Linked DNA regions of Sus scrofa. The protein of the gene in region 3 interacts with the protein of the main gene of each other region in a biochemical or structural test. Links are inferred from orthologs where the notes say so. Each region holds a gene or a part of one and is shown on either strand. Other genes may lie near its edges.

Evidence for each region.
Region 1: the proteins of DNM1 (region 3) and SH3GL1 form a complex in vitro, tested with the Homo sapiens proteins (2 studies listed by BioGRID and IntAct, with this or other methods). The link is inferred for Sus scrofa from reciprocal best matches to the Homo sapiens genes DNM1 and SH3GL1.
Region 2: the proteins of DNM1 (region 3) and SH3GL2 form a complex in vitro, tested with the Homo sapiens proteins (2 studies listed by BioGRID and IntAct, with this or other methods). The link is inferred for Sus scrofa from reciprocal best matches to the Homo sapiens genes DNM1 and SH3GL2.

What each region holds. Positions count from the first base shown.
Region 1 is NC_010444.4:74,441,140-74,445,859, reverse strand, and holds the end of SH3GL1 (endophilin-A2), read right to left. Parts: intron 4,543-4,720; coding exon 4,399-4,542; intron 3,986-4,398; coding exon 3,852-3,985; intron 3,710-3,851; coding exon 3,551-3,709; intron 3,238-3,550; coding exon 3,134-3,237; intron 2,497-3,133; coding exon 2,372-2,496; intron 2,215-2,371; coding exon 2,152-2,214; intron 1,794-2,151; coding exon 1,597-1,793; 3' UTR 410-1,596; downstream 1-409. UniProt on the Homo sapiens protein: Implicated in endocytosis. May recruit other proteins to membranes with high curvature.
Region 2 is NC_010443.5:205,083,142-205,087,177, reverse strand, and holds part of SH3GL2 (endophilin-A1), read left to right. Parts: intron 1-1,673; coding exon 1,674-1,804; intron 1,805-4,036. UniProt on the Homo sapiens protein: Implicated in synaptic vesicle endocytosis. May recruit other proteins to membranes with high curvature. Required for BDNF-dependent dendrite outgrowth.
Region 3 is NC_010443.5:268,694,146-268,698,865, reverse strand, and holds part of DNM1 (dynamin-1), read right to left. Parts: intron 4,472-4,720; coding exon 4,360-4,471; intron 3,652-4,359; coding exon 3,640-3,651; intron 3,276-3,639; coding exon 3,105-3,275; intron 1,961-3,104; coding exon 1,719-1,960; intron 1,361-1,718; coding exon 1,146-1,360; intron 1-1,145. UniProt on the Homo sapiens protein: Catalyzes the hydrolysis of GTP and utilizes this energy to mediate vesicle scission and participates in many forms of endocytosis, such as clathrin-mediated endocytosis or synaptic vesicle endocytosis as well as rapid endocytosis (RE).

The DNA of each region.
Region 1 (4,720 bases), on a different chromosome or scaffold from region 3:
TTTACAGCATCCTCAAGCAGGGGAGCTGAGGGCACCAGCTTCCAAGGACCTGGGTGACCTTTGGTCATTCTTGGTCCCCGGCAGCTCTGGGTGAGGGGAATGGGTTCAGGGCCTTTGTCTGCGGCTGTGCTGCTCTGTTCCTGTGTGACTGAGTTGTGTGACCACAAGAGCTCAGATAATAAAGGAGAGAAACAGCCCAAGCTTGTGTCTCCCAGGTGCAGGCGGGGACGCCATTTGTGCAGCCGTGGCTGTGGGGAGGGGCCTTTCAGGCACATACTGCCAGTGCCAGTGACTGGGCAAGCGAAGGACATCCCTCTTGGGCTCACTGTGGGCTGGTGCCCATGTGGGCCCTGCTCTGGCTGGAGACCCCTCAGGAGGGCCCACCCTGCCCTGCAACCAGACAAAAGGCTGTAGAAAGAGACGTTTAATACTTCTTTTTTTAAAAAAATCAGGATTACATTTCAGTCTGCCCTAGGCCGTGATGTCTGTGCCTCCTCCATGTACTGGCAACCAGGGGGCCTCGGGGGTGAGCAGGGAGAGCCTGGTGTCCTTGAGGGCTTTACCAGGTCACCAGAGGAGGGGAATGTGAATCAGGCCCCGGGGTCCCCTGTTTAGCCAGCTTTTGGACTAGGCAAGAGAGGAAGTGGGTGCAGGGCTGGGGCCCTGCTGGTCCGGGCAACTGCCTACCTTGGTCTGGAGGAGATAGCCTGGACCACTGTCCAAAGGGGTATGGTGATTGGCTCAGGACCAAGAGATGCCCGTGACTCCCCCATAGGGCCCCAGGGGTCCTGGGGACATTCACTTATCAAAGCCTTTGTGCTTGACCTTCCAGAGTGGAGGCTGGGCTCCCGTGGTCCCGTGTGTGTGTGTGTGTGTGTGTGTGAGTGTGAGTGTGAGCACGTGCTGGTGGTGGTAGGTTGTGCTTGGCCCAGTGTGGGGTGTGGGACTCAGCAGCCTGCAGGAGGGAGACATGGCCACCTGAGTGCTGCCGAGAAGGCCCCTGAGGACCCCAGGCTCGTCTCTCCCCAAGCGCCTGGCCTGGAGGGAAAGGGTGAGGCCTTCCCAGGTAGGTGGCATCTGTAGGTGTTCAGGGGCCCTGGGAGGAGTTTCCTGGGGCAATTTAAAAGCAGGGTGGTGAGTCTCAGCCAGGGGTCCCGCCCAGACCAGCCATCATACAGATGTTCAGTTCCATCCTGTTGAGGGCAGGTCTCCAGATGGAGGAACACAGGGTGGCGAGAGGACAGTGTGGGTGCGAGTATGTGAAGGGGGCCCACCTGGCGTTACCAGTCCCTGGAGGGGGCAGGAGGAGTTAGTGTTTCTAAGAGCACCTTAGTGTGAGCCCCCTTGGGCGGGGCTGGGGGGCAGTCAGCGAGCAGCAGGAAGAGGAACACTGCCCAGCCCCCAAGATGGCCACGTGGAGTGGGGAAGGGAGCCCCCACCGGGGGTTATCGCTAGTGTAAACAGGGGCCCCATGCCCCTGGTCCAGGTGGGGAGGAGGCCACCCTGCAGGCTGCGAGCTCTGCCCTCGCCACGGGCCTGTGGAATGCAGAGATCTGGACGGAGGGGCAGGTGGGCCAGTGTGTCACCGAGACGCTGTCACTGGGGCAGTGGCACCAGCACCTCCACGTAGCTGAGCGGGAAGAAGCCAGACTGGCCATGGAGCATGCCCTCGTACCAGTTCTCGTCGATCTGGTTGGTCAGGGTGATGATGTCGCCCTCGTGGAAGCCCAGCTCCCCGTCATTCTCAGGCTCAAAGTCGTACAGGGCCTTGCAGCTTGGCTGGTCCAGGGGTGCTGGGGGCGGGGGAAGGTCTGGCTTGTCACCTGCCCCTGCAGGTGTGCAGCGTGACACCGCCTCCCTTCCTGCCCAGGCCACTGCTCCCTCCTCTCTGGCTCCCAGAACTGTCAGAGGAGCAGAGGAAGGAAAAGGGCTCTGTGAGTGGTCATCAGAACGCTCCCAGGAGGAGCTGGGGTCACCTGGTAGCATCAGGATGACAGTGACCACAAGGGCACAGGGTGCCACTCAGAGCAGAGGGAGGCCCAGCTCCACTTCTACAAGAGACAGGGAGGAGGAGAAAGATCCTTCTGGAACATACTAGCAGGCCACATCATAAACACAGGGCAGGGCCAGCACCTGCGGGAAGATACTCACGCATGCTCCTGCTGCTGGGGGTCCGGGTGGGCTTGTCGGAAGACCGGAAGGATGACGAAGCTGCTTGCAGACAAAGCACAGAGGCGGGATGAGAATGCAGGGCTGGGGCCTGGGGCCCATCCCAGGGCCCTCTCGAGAGAACCAGCCCATGGTTGGATGGATGGTGGGCTCGGGCTGCCCTGGATGGGCCTGGGACAGAGCGCACCCTCCTGCTGGTTACCTGTGATCTTGGGGGCCGTGGCACAGGGGAAGCCCCCATTGGACTGCTCAGGCTCTCCCAGGTCCAAGGGCTCCCGGGGCTTGGGCTTATACTCCCGCTTGGGGCGTGAAGAGGCTTCTCGCATCCTGCATGGAAGGGAGCAAGTGAGCAGCTGCAGCTGTAGGGCTGCGTCCTAACAGCGCTCCCAGCTGTTTATGCCCATGGGAGGTTGTGAGGGCAAGCACTGTGCACGGCGGAATGCTGGGACCAGCTGGGTCCTACTGAACCCAGAAGCCTCCTCAGCAGTGGTGCCTGGGAAGCTGATGCCCACAGACACCCCCCTACCGCCAGGGACTACTACCCACAAGGGCTTCCACCTCAGGTCCTCGACACTGCCTGACTGCAAGATCCCCCTCAGAGAGGAGCCCAAGTGCCCCTCTAGGAGACAGGGAAGGAAAGGAAGGGGCCAGGGTCAGGGGACACCAGCCTGGACAAACCCTCCCCTCAGCGGACCTCCCCAAGCCTCTCCTCTGGGACCAGGATAAGTGAGAGGAGGTCCTGCTTCCCCCTGAGCCCCCCCCCCCCCACCTACTCATGCAGCTTGGGGATCCTTTCTGAAAAGGAGGCAACCCCGCTGCTCTGGAAGGAATGTGCTCACAGCAGGCTTAGCTGTCCAGAAGCGGGCACATCTTCCAGAAGGGCTGGCGTGGGCACTGGGCCTCCTGGGCAGCAGAGCGGGTGGGGGCTCCCACAGGGAAGGCCAGGAGCAGGGAACTGGCTCACCTTCGCTTGAGCTTGTCCGCCAGCTCGTCCAGGATCTGCACGGCCTGCCGGTGGTAGTCCAGCTGGGCGTCCACCAGGGCGGAAAGCTGGCTCACCTGCTCGATCTGCAAGGGACCAGCCAGGACTGAAGAGCTGCCCTCTTTCTGACCCCCATCTCTAGGCTGCCTCCTGCAGGGAGCCTTCCCAGACTGTTCCAGACACAGAAGCCTGGCCCCGTCCTGTCCACCTAACCCTTGAAATACAGCCAAAGGAGGGTAAAGGGCCTGAGGAGACCCCAAAGCCTCAGTAGGCTGGTCCCTACCTTCCTGTTCCCTCTTCCTTCATGCCCTAAATAGGCGCTGAGCCTGCCCACCAGCTGGGGGAAGCTAGCGCCACCACTGGGCTCCTTGTTCTAGGGGCTTTCAGCCCAGTACGTACATCGGTCTCCAGGAGGTTGTGCATGCTGGTCTCAGCCACCTCCTTGGACTCCTCAAACTTCTCCATGGCCTGACGCAGCTCCTCGTCGGGGATCTTGCCCTGCCGCTTCTTCTTGTAATCAAAGTCCAGGCGGCGGCCTTCCAGCTTCTTCAGGTGGTGCTAGGGGTCAGGGACGCAGGTCACACTGCTGGTCTGGGACCTCGGGGAGGGAGGGCTGCCTGATTCCCCTCAGCCCTTCCCACTGGAAACCTGGCCCAGGCTGGGCTGTCTGGGGGTGGAAGTGAAGGCGGGCCTGGCACACCTGGATCTCCTTCAGGTCCTTGTCACACAGGTTCTGGAGGGGATCGATGAAGTTCTGCTTGACCTCTATGTCCAGGGAGTCCTTCACCTCAGCCAGGCGCTTCATGGACTCCCCGGCGTCCAGCAGGGCATCACCTGGGGGAGGAAGCTGTCACAGGAGGCCTTGGCCCCTAGGGTTGAGATACCCCATGCCAAGGACCTGGACGCCAGAATTGAGAACAAGGGACCCTGAAATCTGACACAGAGCCACAGGGGCTGGTGATGATGGGTGTTCACAAGCTACCTTCCCACCTCTTCAAAGGCACCCAGGTCTGCCCTGACCCAGCTGTGGTGGGAGGGTGGCCTCCCCACAGCCATGATACTGTAGGCAGCACCTGTTGTGGACCAGAGGGGCTTTCTCAGGAGCTTCACCGCCCTCGTCCAGAGGACTAGCCAGCCCTGGAGAAGACCTTGGAGCTATGGGGGAAGGGCCAGCCTGCCCGCTGCGCAGAGATGCTGTTGCCCCATGTTCTCAGGCCCTCCCCACTCCAGCCTTCCCTCGGCCTCACCGAAGTTGGACTCGCCACCCAGCTCCTTCCCGTGGCGGATCATGCACTCGCCCAGCAGGCCTTCTGACTGCGGGTAGCCGGGGTTCTTCACCTGCCCACGGATCTTGGACACCGTGTTGAGCATCGTCAGCTTGGCCCGAGAGGCTGGAAGAGGACGGACCGGGTGGGTGTGCAGGTGGTCTCTTGAGCCACCAGGCCTGTGCTTGCCAGTACCACCAGCTACCCACCTCTGCCTGGGTATTTATTTCTAAAGCACTCCCTTGGGCTGAGGAACAGGAATATGAGAAGAACCCCTGAACAGACTTCCCCTCCTCTGCTCTCA
Region 2 (4,036 bases), about 64 Mb from region 3:
TTTAAGCTGAACGTGTATGCCTCAGAGGCTGGCCTCACCAGCTTTTATTCTCAGCTGTGGCCAGATTTGACTCTCACAGCTGTTGATACGGCCATAAATGTGCAAGGCAGCCTCCACTTATGATGCTGTATGAGGAGCAACTTCCTGACCTGTTTCTATCTGGCCAGCCTCCTCTTCTTGGTATCTTCCTTGACTAGTGCTTTGATTGTGCACCTCCCCACAGTGCACACTTGTGGAAATATGTGTGTGACATGCCAAAGCCTCTAAAAAGGCTTCAAACCATGCCCTTCAAAGTACTAAAGAAATTTTATATGTCTTTGTGACAGTTGTTAAGCATGGAGGCCACTTTTCTTGTTTTCCCCTAAAATGTTTAGAGTCACTGTTACTCTTCAATCACCATACCCTAAACTCTCCCCACCCTTGCAGATCTGCCCTACACTTTGCTTAATGACCACCTAAAAGGGTGGGAAGTACTCAGGGGTGAGCAGAATACTTTGCCTGCCTGTACCTTTCCACCTTTCTTCCTTCTTCCTTGGCTTCTTTCCTTTCCCTCTGTGCTGTTCTCAGAACACACAGTATTTCCTCCTCTCCTCCCCCCACACCTTCTCAAGCTCTGCATGGAATAACTTTCTTCTGGAAACAACTGTTTATCTAGAAATGACTTCTGATGATCTTTCACCTCTGTCCTTAAGCCTTCTCCAGCCTCCCCTGGGACAGGTAGCTCCTCCCCATCTCACTGCCAGCTCCATCCCTGTGTTCCTGCAGCATTTGGTACAAATCTCCATGGCAGCACTTATTACAATTCACGGTAATCAGTTGTTTGTGTTCTGTCTCCACTCCAGACCATAAGCTGTTTGAGGGTAAGAATTGTGTCTTACTCACCTTTTGTGTTCCTGGTGCCTAGCGCAGTGCAGACTTGCAGAGTGAGCTCGGAATTAATGAGGGAGAACCTGAGAGGAAGGATGAAAGCAATGAGGGTATAACTGCAGAGAGCGTGACCCCAGCGCCCAAGTGGAGACAGACACAGATAAGAAAACTGAGGGTCCTTTTCAGATTTCACCTGCTCCACAGTGGTAGATTGGTAGCTAGTCAAAGCATTTTCTCGATTTAATTGCTTTTCTTTTTGCTTCTTAATTGACTACACATCCCACCTCCCACCTCCTACCTTTTCTTTTTCTTTCTTTCTTTCTTTCTTTCTTTCTTTCTTTCTTTCTTTCTTTCTTTCTTTCTTTCTTTCTTTCTTTCTTTCTTCCTTTCTTTCTTCCTTCCTTCCTTCCTTCCTTCCTTCCTTCCTTCCTTTCTTCCTTTCTTCCTTTCTTCCTTTCTTTCTTCCTTTCTTTCTTCCTTTCTTTCTTCCTTTCTTTCTTCCTTTCTTTCTTCCTTTCTTTCTTTCTTTCTTTCTCTGTCTGTCTGTCTGTCTGTCTTTGTAAAGGCCACACCTGCAGCATATGGAGGTTTGCAGGTTAGGGGTTGAATCAAACTACAGCTGCCAGCCACAGTCACAGACACAGCCACGCCAGATCTGAGACATGTGCTTGACCTACAGCACAGCTCACAGCAACGCCGGATCCTTAACCCACTAAGTAGGGCTAGGGATTGACCCTTCATCCTCATGTCAGATTCGTTTCCAACAAGCCACGACAGGAACTCCCCATCTTTTCTCTTTAATGCAGAATAAGACAAGCTTCATCTCAGCCTCGAAGGGAGTATCAGCCCAAACCTCGAATGAGCCTGGAGTTTCCAACTGGGGACAGCACTCAGCCCAATGGGGGCCTCTCCCACACAGGCACCCCCAAACCTGCAGGTAAGTATCGGATCCCTGGTACATGGCCTTGGCCACGCCCCATGAACACTCTTCCAGAAATTCTAGGAGCAATCCCATCTGGCTACATAAGAATTATGCAGGAATATATTTCTTACAGGATGGTTTTGTCAGGTAGAAACTCTCTTAAAGGAGTTCCTTCTTGTCTCATTCATTCTCTTTCCCTCCTTTACTCTCTCTCTCCTCTGTAAAGCCTTCATTGTACGTCCCTTTTACCCTCAGTCTCCATCGGCGCACACTTACCTGCTTTAACACATTTGATACTGACCCTCTTTTGTGGTCTTTAAATCACTGTAATATGTCAGTTGAGTTGTAGGGATGTCATCTTCTTTCCTGTCTGTCCCTTTCTGTGATTCCAGCATGCGTGGGGGTGAGTGCCCCAAGGCAGTGCATGCCCTTGTACACTCACACATACCCCACAGATGGCAGCTCCAGAAACCTGCTGCGTTGGGTTTCTTGAGGCCCACGAACATGAGGGTGAATATATTTGCAGATGAATATATTTTGAATCCCACTATCTGCTGGATTTTCTTCCCCTCCCCACCCTCCACCAGTTCATTGTGCTATGGTAACAGGTAGGTGCATTAAAAGCTGAAAATTATTTTCTTTCAGAGATGTAGATGTATAACTGATTGTATTATTCTTTTACTTGGTCCCACTGCTTTCTACCCCCTGCATACAGAACAGATAAAAGCCTGTGCTTGAGGTATATTCATCCTTAAGAATCTGCTTGGTCGAAGAGTGGGAACTGCCTTATCCTGGATATGGATGTTAAGGATGGGAAGCTCTCTCCTGTTTCCCTGTATCCCCAGTGCTGGATGTTCTACAGAAGGAAATGTTTTATGAGATGCTCTCAGGAGACCATGAAGGCAAAAAGGGAGGGTGTGATGACCATTGGCTCTGCTCCTCGGGCTTACCTCTGCTGCTCAGAGCCCTCGTGTGGGGCTTTTGCTGGTTATAAGGACTAGGCACATAATGTAACCTGGCTTCTCCCTGCTCAGAAAGCAAACACATATCTCATTTTTCTTTTGGAGACTTGTTAATTTGCTTTCTCTAAGTTAAAAAAAATCATTATCAGAGTTTCCGTCGTGGCTCAGTGGTTAATGAATCCGACTAGGAACCAGGAGGTTGCGGGTTCGGTCCCTGGCCTTGCTCAGTGGGTTAAAGGATCCGGCGTTGCCGTGAGTTGTGGTGTAGGTCGCAGATGCGGCTCGGATCCTGTGTTGCTGTGGCTCTGGTGTAGGCCGGTGGCTATGGCTCTGATTCGACCCCTAGCCTGGGAACCTCCATATGCCATGGGAACAGCCCTAGAAAAGACAAAAAGACCAAAAAAAAAAAAAAAAAATCATTGTCCCCCTTCAGAGCCATCCAGGTGGCATGGAGCTGTTTCCACTTGCCTGAGTTTATACGCATGTGTGTATGCCTGCTATGGTAATACTTTTGCTCATTTAACAGTTTTCTCTCTCTCTCTCTCTTTTTTTTTTTTTTTTTGTCTCTTTTTTAGGGCCACACCCATGGCATCTGGAGGTTCCCAGGCTAGGGGTTGAATTGGAGCTGTAGCTGCCAGCCTACGCTACAGCCACAGCAATGCAGGATCTGAGCTGCGTCCGAGACCTACGCCACAGCTCATGGCAATGCTGGATCTTTAACTCACTGAGTGAGGCCAGGGATCAAACCCACGTCCTCATGAAAACTAGTTGGATTTGATAACTCTGAGCCACAATGGGAACTCCAACACAGTTCTCTTTTAAGATAGGATTCCATCCTTCATTATTTAATTCAATGTAGAATCTATTATTTTTTATATTCCATAGCTCTGATACATACCTCTTATTTATATAGGTAATGTGATGTGGAGGTGGAAATTGTATCATTTTTTATGTAATCCCATTTAATAGCCACGGTAGTACTGTGAAGTAAGTTCTTTTAGTTCCAATTTTAGAAAAACTGAGAGTGAAGTGCCATGTGCAAGGGTCACGGAGAGTAGCATCTCGAACCCAGTGTTTTATATTGTCTTGTTTTCATCACATTACTGTGGCTCTCCAGAGGCTGGGGATCTTTATTTTTTAAAAGTAAGAAATGCACCATTATTCTGAAGTCCCAAAGCCCTGTCTGTATACTTTACTGTTTCACACGTGCAGAGATTTTAAAGAGGTTAGCATGAAAAGAATTCTGTCCATGCTCCATTATGAATCTAAAGTCCATGAAGACTCC
Region 3 (4,720 bases):
AATACCATTTGGGAGAAGGAAAACGGAGGCCCTCGAAGGGAAAATGACTTGTCTAAAGGCCCACTGCAGCGCAGGGCTGCCTGCTTTACCCCGTCTGCCCTGGTCATCGGGTCACCACAGAGCAGGTCCCATCTCTGCTTCATTTTAGGTTCCTGGAGGCTAGAACCCACGGCCCTACCCTCCAGCCATCTGGAAACATAAACCAATGCTATGGGTCTGATGTGTTCTTCCTCACAGGGCACATGGCCAGTAGAAACAGGGCAGACTGAGTGAGCCATCAGAGTGGGCTTCCTTGAAAGAGGCTCATGAATCAAGAAGGCAAGGCCAAGGGATGACGTAGAATCCTTTTCTCTGGAAAATCTCTGGGAATGGGGCAGCCTTCATCGGCTCCTGCCTCCCCCCGCCCCCGCACCACGTTGGTCCAGGCCAGGGGCAGGGGGAAGGGAGAAAGCCATCTGGCTGCCCCGTGGCTCCCGGACCCTTGCCCTAGCTGTTCCATGTCCTATCCCATGTCTGGGTGCCATTCGTACACTCTCACACCCATGTGCACGCCCACACACACATCACACACCGTACTGGTCACACAGTCACAGCCTGGCCTCTGTTCCTGTGGGCCAGAGGCCAGACATCCCCCTGGCACAGGTCCAAAGAGTCAGGACTGGGAAGTGGGGGCATCCGGGTAGCCCTGAGTGTAAGTCTATAAATCCGGAGAGGATGGCAGTCAGATCCTCAGACCTGAGGGCTCACTGGGGGCTGGGAGAGAGAAGTAGAGGACAGAATAGGATAGATGGAATGGAGAACGGCGGAGAGCAGCTAGGAAGGGAAAGGGGAAGGGATGCAATGTGTGGGAGACAGTGAAAAAGGATGGAAGCGCCATGCAAGTGCTGGAGAGACGGGGGCAGGTGGGAGGAGCCCCACGGCCCCCTCCCCAGAAACGACCACCTGCGGGACTCAGCACTCCCTGGGGAGCAGGCTCCGCCAGCCCTCTGCCACACTTCCTCGTGGCTCTGGCACCCACAGTCCGAGTGACTTGGATGGAGAGGGCCAGGTCTGGCGACCAGCGCCGGAGCTCCAGAATCCGGCCCCACCTCCCTCCCGGCCACGCCCGCCCGGCGGTCTTTGCCGCCGCTTTCAGCCCTACTCACCTGGGGACCCCGGGCGGGGCGCGGTTGGGGCGCGAGGGCACCTGGGGGGGAGGACCGAAGGGGTCAGGGGAAGCCCCCGGCCTGGAGGGCACGGGGGGTGCCCCCCCGAGGGCGGACCCAGCAGGCGGAGGCCCAGGAGCAGGGCCCCGCGACCCGGGCCGGGCTGGGGCACGGCGGGGGCTCGGCGCTGCGGCGTGGGGCTGGACGTGGGTGACCTGCGGGCGACGGGGAGCAAAGGACAAGGAGGGGAGAGAGAGATTGAGCCTCTCTGCCCACCCAGAGGGCCCGCCCCCAGCCCGGTGCCGGCCACGCCCATGCGCACAAGCCCCGCCCCGATGCGCCCTAGGGTTTTCGGCCGAGTTAAAGCCCGGCCCCAGACGCTCCACCCCGCCCCGCAGCCAGCGCTCCACGGCAAGCCCCGCCCCGCAAAAGCCCCGCCCCTCTCTAAGCTCCGCCCCTCGCTCCAGGTGGGAGCCGCCCCGGTGACGCGGGCGCGCCACTGCCCGGTCCCGGCCCTCCTCCCGCGGGCCCCGGGCTGGGGGGCTTTGGGGCCGTGGGGGCCGGCCCTGGTACCTGCGTCCGGCCGGTATGCTTTGCACCTGCAGCCAGGAGTCGTCCACGGGCGGGGGCATGGGCGTGCTGACAGTGGTCGTGTTGATGTCGCCGATGATGCTAAGCGCCTCCTTCAGTGCGTGGTACATGCGCAGCATCTCGTCTCGCCGCTGCGCCTGCTCGGCGGACTCCTCCATCAGTGTGTTCTGGTCCCCGCACGAGTAGAGGTTGGCCAGAAGCTCCGAGAAGATGAATTCCTTGGTCTGAGGGCAGGCAAAGAGAGGAGAGGGTTTGGATTTGAGGCCTGTACCAATTTGCCCGCCCCGCCGGCCCCGACTAGGACTTGGAGCTCGGGAATGGGGCTCAGCCACTGCCTAAACTCAAGAGATCTCCCTCGCTTCCCTTGCTCTTTTTCTCAGATGGTCCAGAGAAGAAGAGTGAACTGTTTAAGGTCATAGATCTGAGCGGAAACTCAGGGCCTATCATGCAACCAGGACAACGGGCCACACAGCTTGTTTCGGCCTCAGTTTCCTCAGTGTAAAAGAAGGCAGTTACACCGTTTCCAAGGACTTGTATGCTCCACTGGACCTCAGTAAGGAAGAGGACAGTTTAAAATCTCCTGAGCCCTTGAATAACAGGTGTCAATGTGTGCCTGAACTGGGTGCAATGCAAGCTTCTGCATGTAGGGGGTGGGTTAATGTTCTTAAAATCTCCAGATGTTACCTGCCCCTGGCTCTGGAACATTTATGGAGAGATCCTGGGGTTTTTTTTAATACCATAGGCCTGTTTCATTTATTCGTTATTTAATGACATGCCGAGCACCTCCTACATGCCAGGTGGTGTGTTGTCATGCACTTTCCTTTTTTTGGCCTTGCTCTGGTACGCAGAAGTTCCTGGGCCAGGGATCGAACTGGCACCACAGCAGTGACAACGCCAGATCTGTAACTGTTAGGCCATCAGGGAACTCATTGAATCCTCAACTCTTCTATTATCCATATTTTACGTATAAGAAAACAGAGGCTCAGAGAGGGTAGGTGGTTTACTTAAAGTCACCCAGCGAACTTGCGGCAAAGCCAGGATTCCAACAGGGTTCTCATTTCCCTCCGGCCGTGTATTTTCACTAAGCCACAGGTGGAAGTGATTCTGTGGGGGTGTGTATTTCAACACATGGTGTGGGAGCTCTTAAAAGATGCAGATTCCTAGCCCCTTCTGGAAAACAGTGAAGCACGTTTGGGTATGTGAATCTACAAAGTAATATACGAAGCTCACGTTATATTTCTACTCGACAGCTCTGGTGTGGACCTGCGCCTCCCTCCCCAAACTCTGTCCCACCCAGGCCAACCTGGCCACCTGCTTCCTCGGTCCCCCAAAGGGCCCCTTCCCCCGCGTGCGTGGTGATGCACTCACATTGTTGATCATGAGGTGCATGATGGTCTTAGGCATGAGGTCCCGGACGGTCTTGTTGACAATGGCCATGTACGAGTCCACGAGGTTCCGGATGGTCTCCACCTGCCGCTCCAGCTGGGGGTCCATGGAGTGCATGAAGCTGTCCGAGCCATTCTCCTCCGTCTCACTGGCCTGCCATTGAGAACAGAGGGCATTAGGGTGTCTGGACCCTCCAGGCCAGGTTCCAGGCATCCCGGGGTCCCAGCTCCTTTAAGGGAGCCTGGAACACTGAAGCACAGGAGAAGCAACTGGCCTGTATACAAAGATGCCAGCTCCCCCATAGCTCTGGGCTCTGCCCACCCCAGAGTCTCTCAGGACCCCAGACTCTCGATCAGCCTTATCTTGGCAGTGACTCTAGCGCCTAGAATTTGCCTTCTTCCCAGTCCATAAACCAGGCAAGGACATCTCCAAGGTCCCTTCCTAAGTCGAAAGATCTGGCCAGATTTGGCTCTAGGCTGGAGATGCCTGGCAGAAGGTGAGGGACGGGCACACTCACTTTCTCTTTGTCCTGGGAGGCCCACACCAAAGCCATGGAGGTCACCACACCAGCATTGTCCCCACCGCCGCCACCACCATCGAGCACAGTCGAAGCAGACGCAGAGAGGAAAAACAAGGAGAGGTGGAGTGAACCCAGGGCCCTGCTCCCCAGCCCAAGGGCAACGCTAGACCTTGTCCCGTGATAGTGGGGAGAAAAGTGAAGGCAGTCGCAGGAAACTACCATCATACAAAAAGGATGCAAAATGCCATCTGAGGCAGAGGAAGCGTATGTAAACTGCGCTGGAGAAGGATGGGAGGAAGGAAGGCTTAACTCCAATCCCACCCCAGGGCAGGTAGGGGGAGAATCCCTCTTTCTTTTTCTTTCCTTTTTTTTTAGGCCCACACCTGCAGCCTATGGAAGTTCCCAGGCTAGTGGTCGAATTGGAGCTGCAGCTGCCGGCCTACACCCCAGCCACAGCCATGCCAGATCTGAGCTGCATCTGCGACCTACACTGAAGCTTGCAGCAAGGCTCCTCAACCCACTGAGCGAGGCCAGGGATGGAACCAGTATCCTCGCGGACACTGGGTCAGGTTCTTAATCCGCTGAGCCACAACAGGAACTCCCCCAGCTATTTCTGAGCCCAAGAACAGCTCAAGAATATGGCATGATTGGCATCCCTGAGGATGGACCCCAGGGACCCCATGTTAAGCAGCGTGCCCCCTCTCCCCTGTCACTCACCCCAACACGCTCGGGGTACACGCCAGCCCTCAGGAAGGAGGCCTTCCAGCTATCCACTTCCTCCTGTGTCTCACAGGCCAGTTCCAGCTGCCGATAATCCTTGTAGACATTCCTGCAATGGGGCGGGTGGGGAGGAGAGACAGGGCAAAGGCCACTCACCCTGGTGGTTAAGGGCATGCGTGGACTGGGGTCATGATGCCCTGGGGGCCAGTCCTGATTTTCTCATTTCCCAGCTGGGTGACACTGGGCAAGTCCCTTCCTCTCTCTAAGCCTCAGTTTTCTCATCTGGAAGATGGGTTAGTAACGACAATTCCTGCCTCCTAGGCTTCTTGTGAGGCTTCAGCAGAAGGAGTGGTAAAAT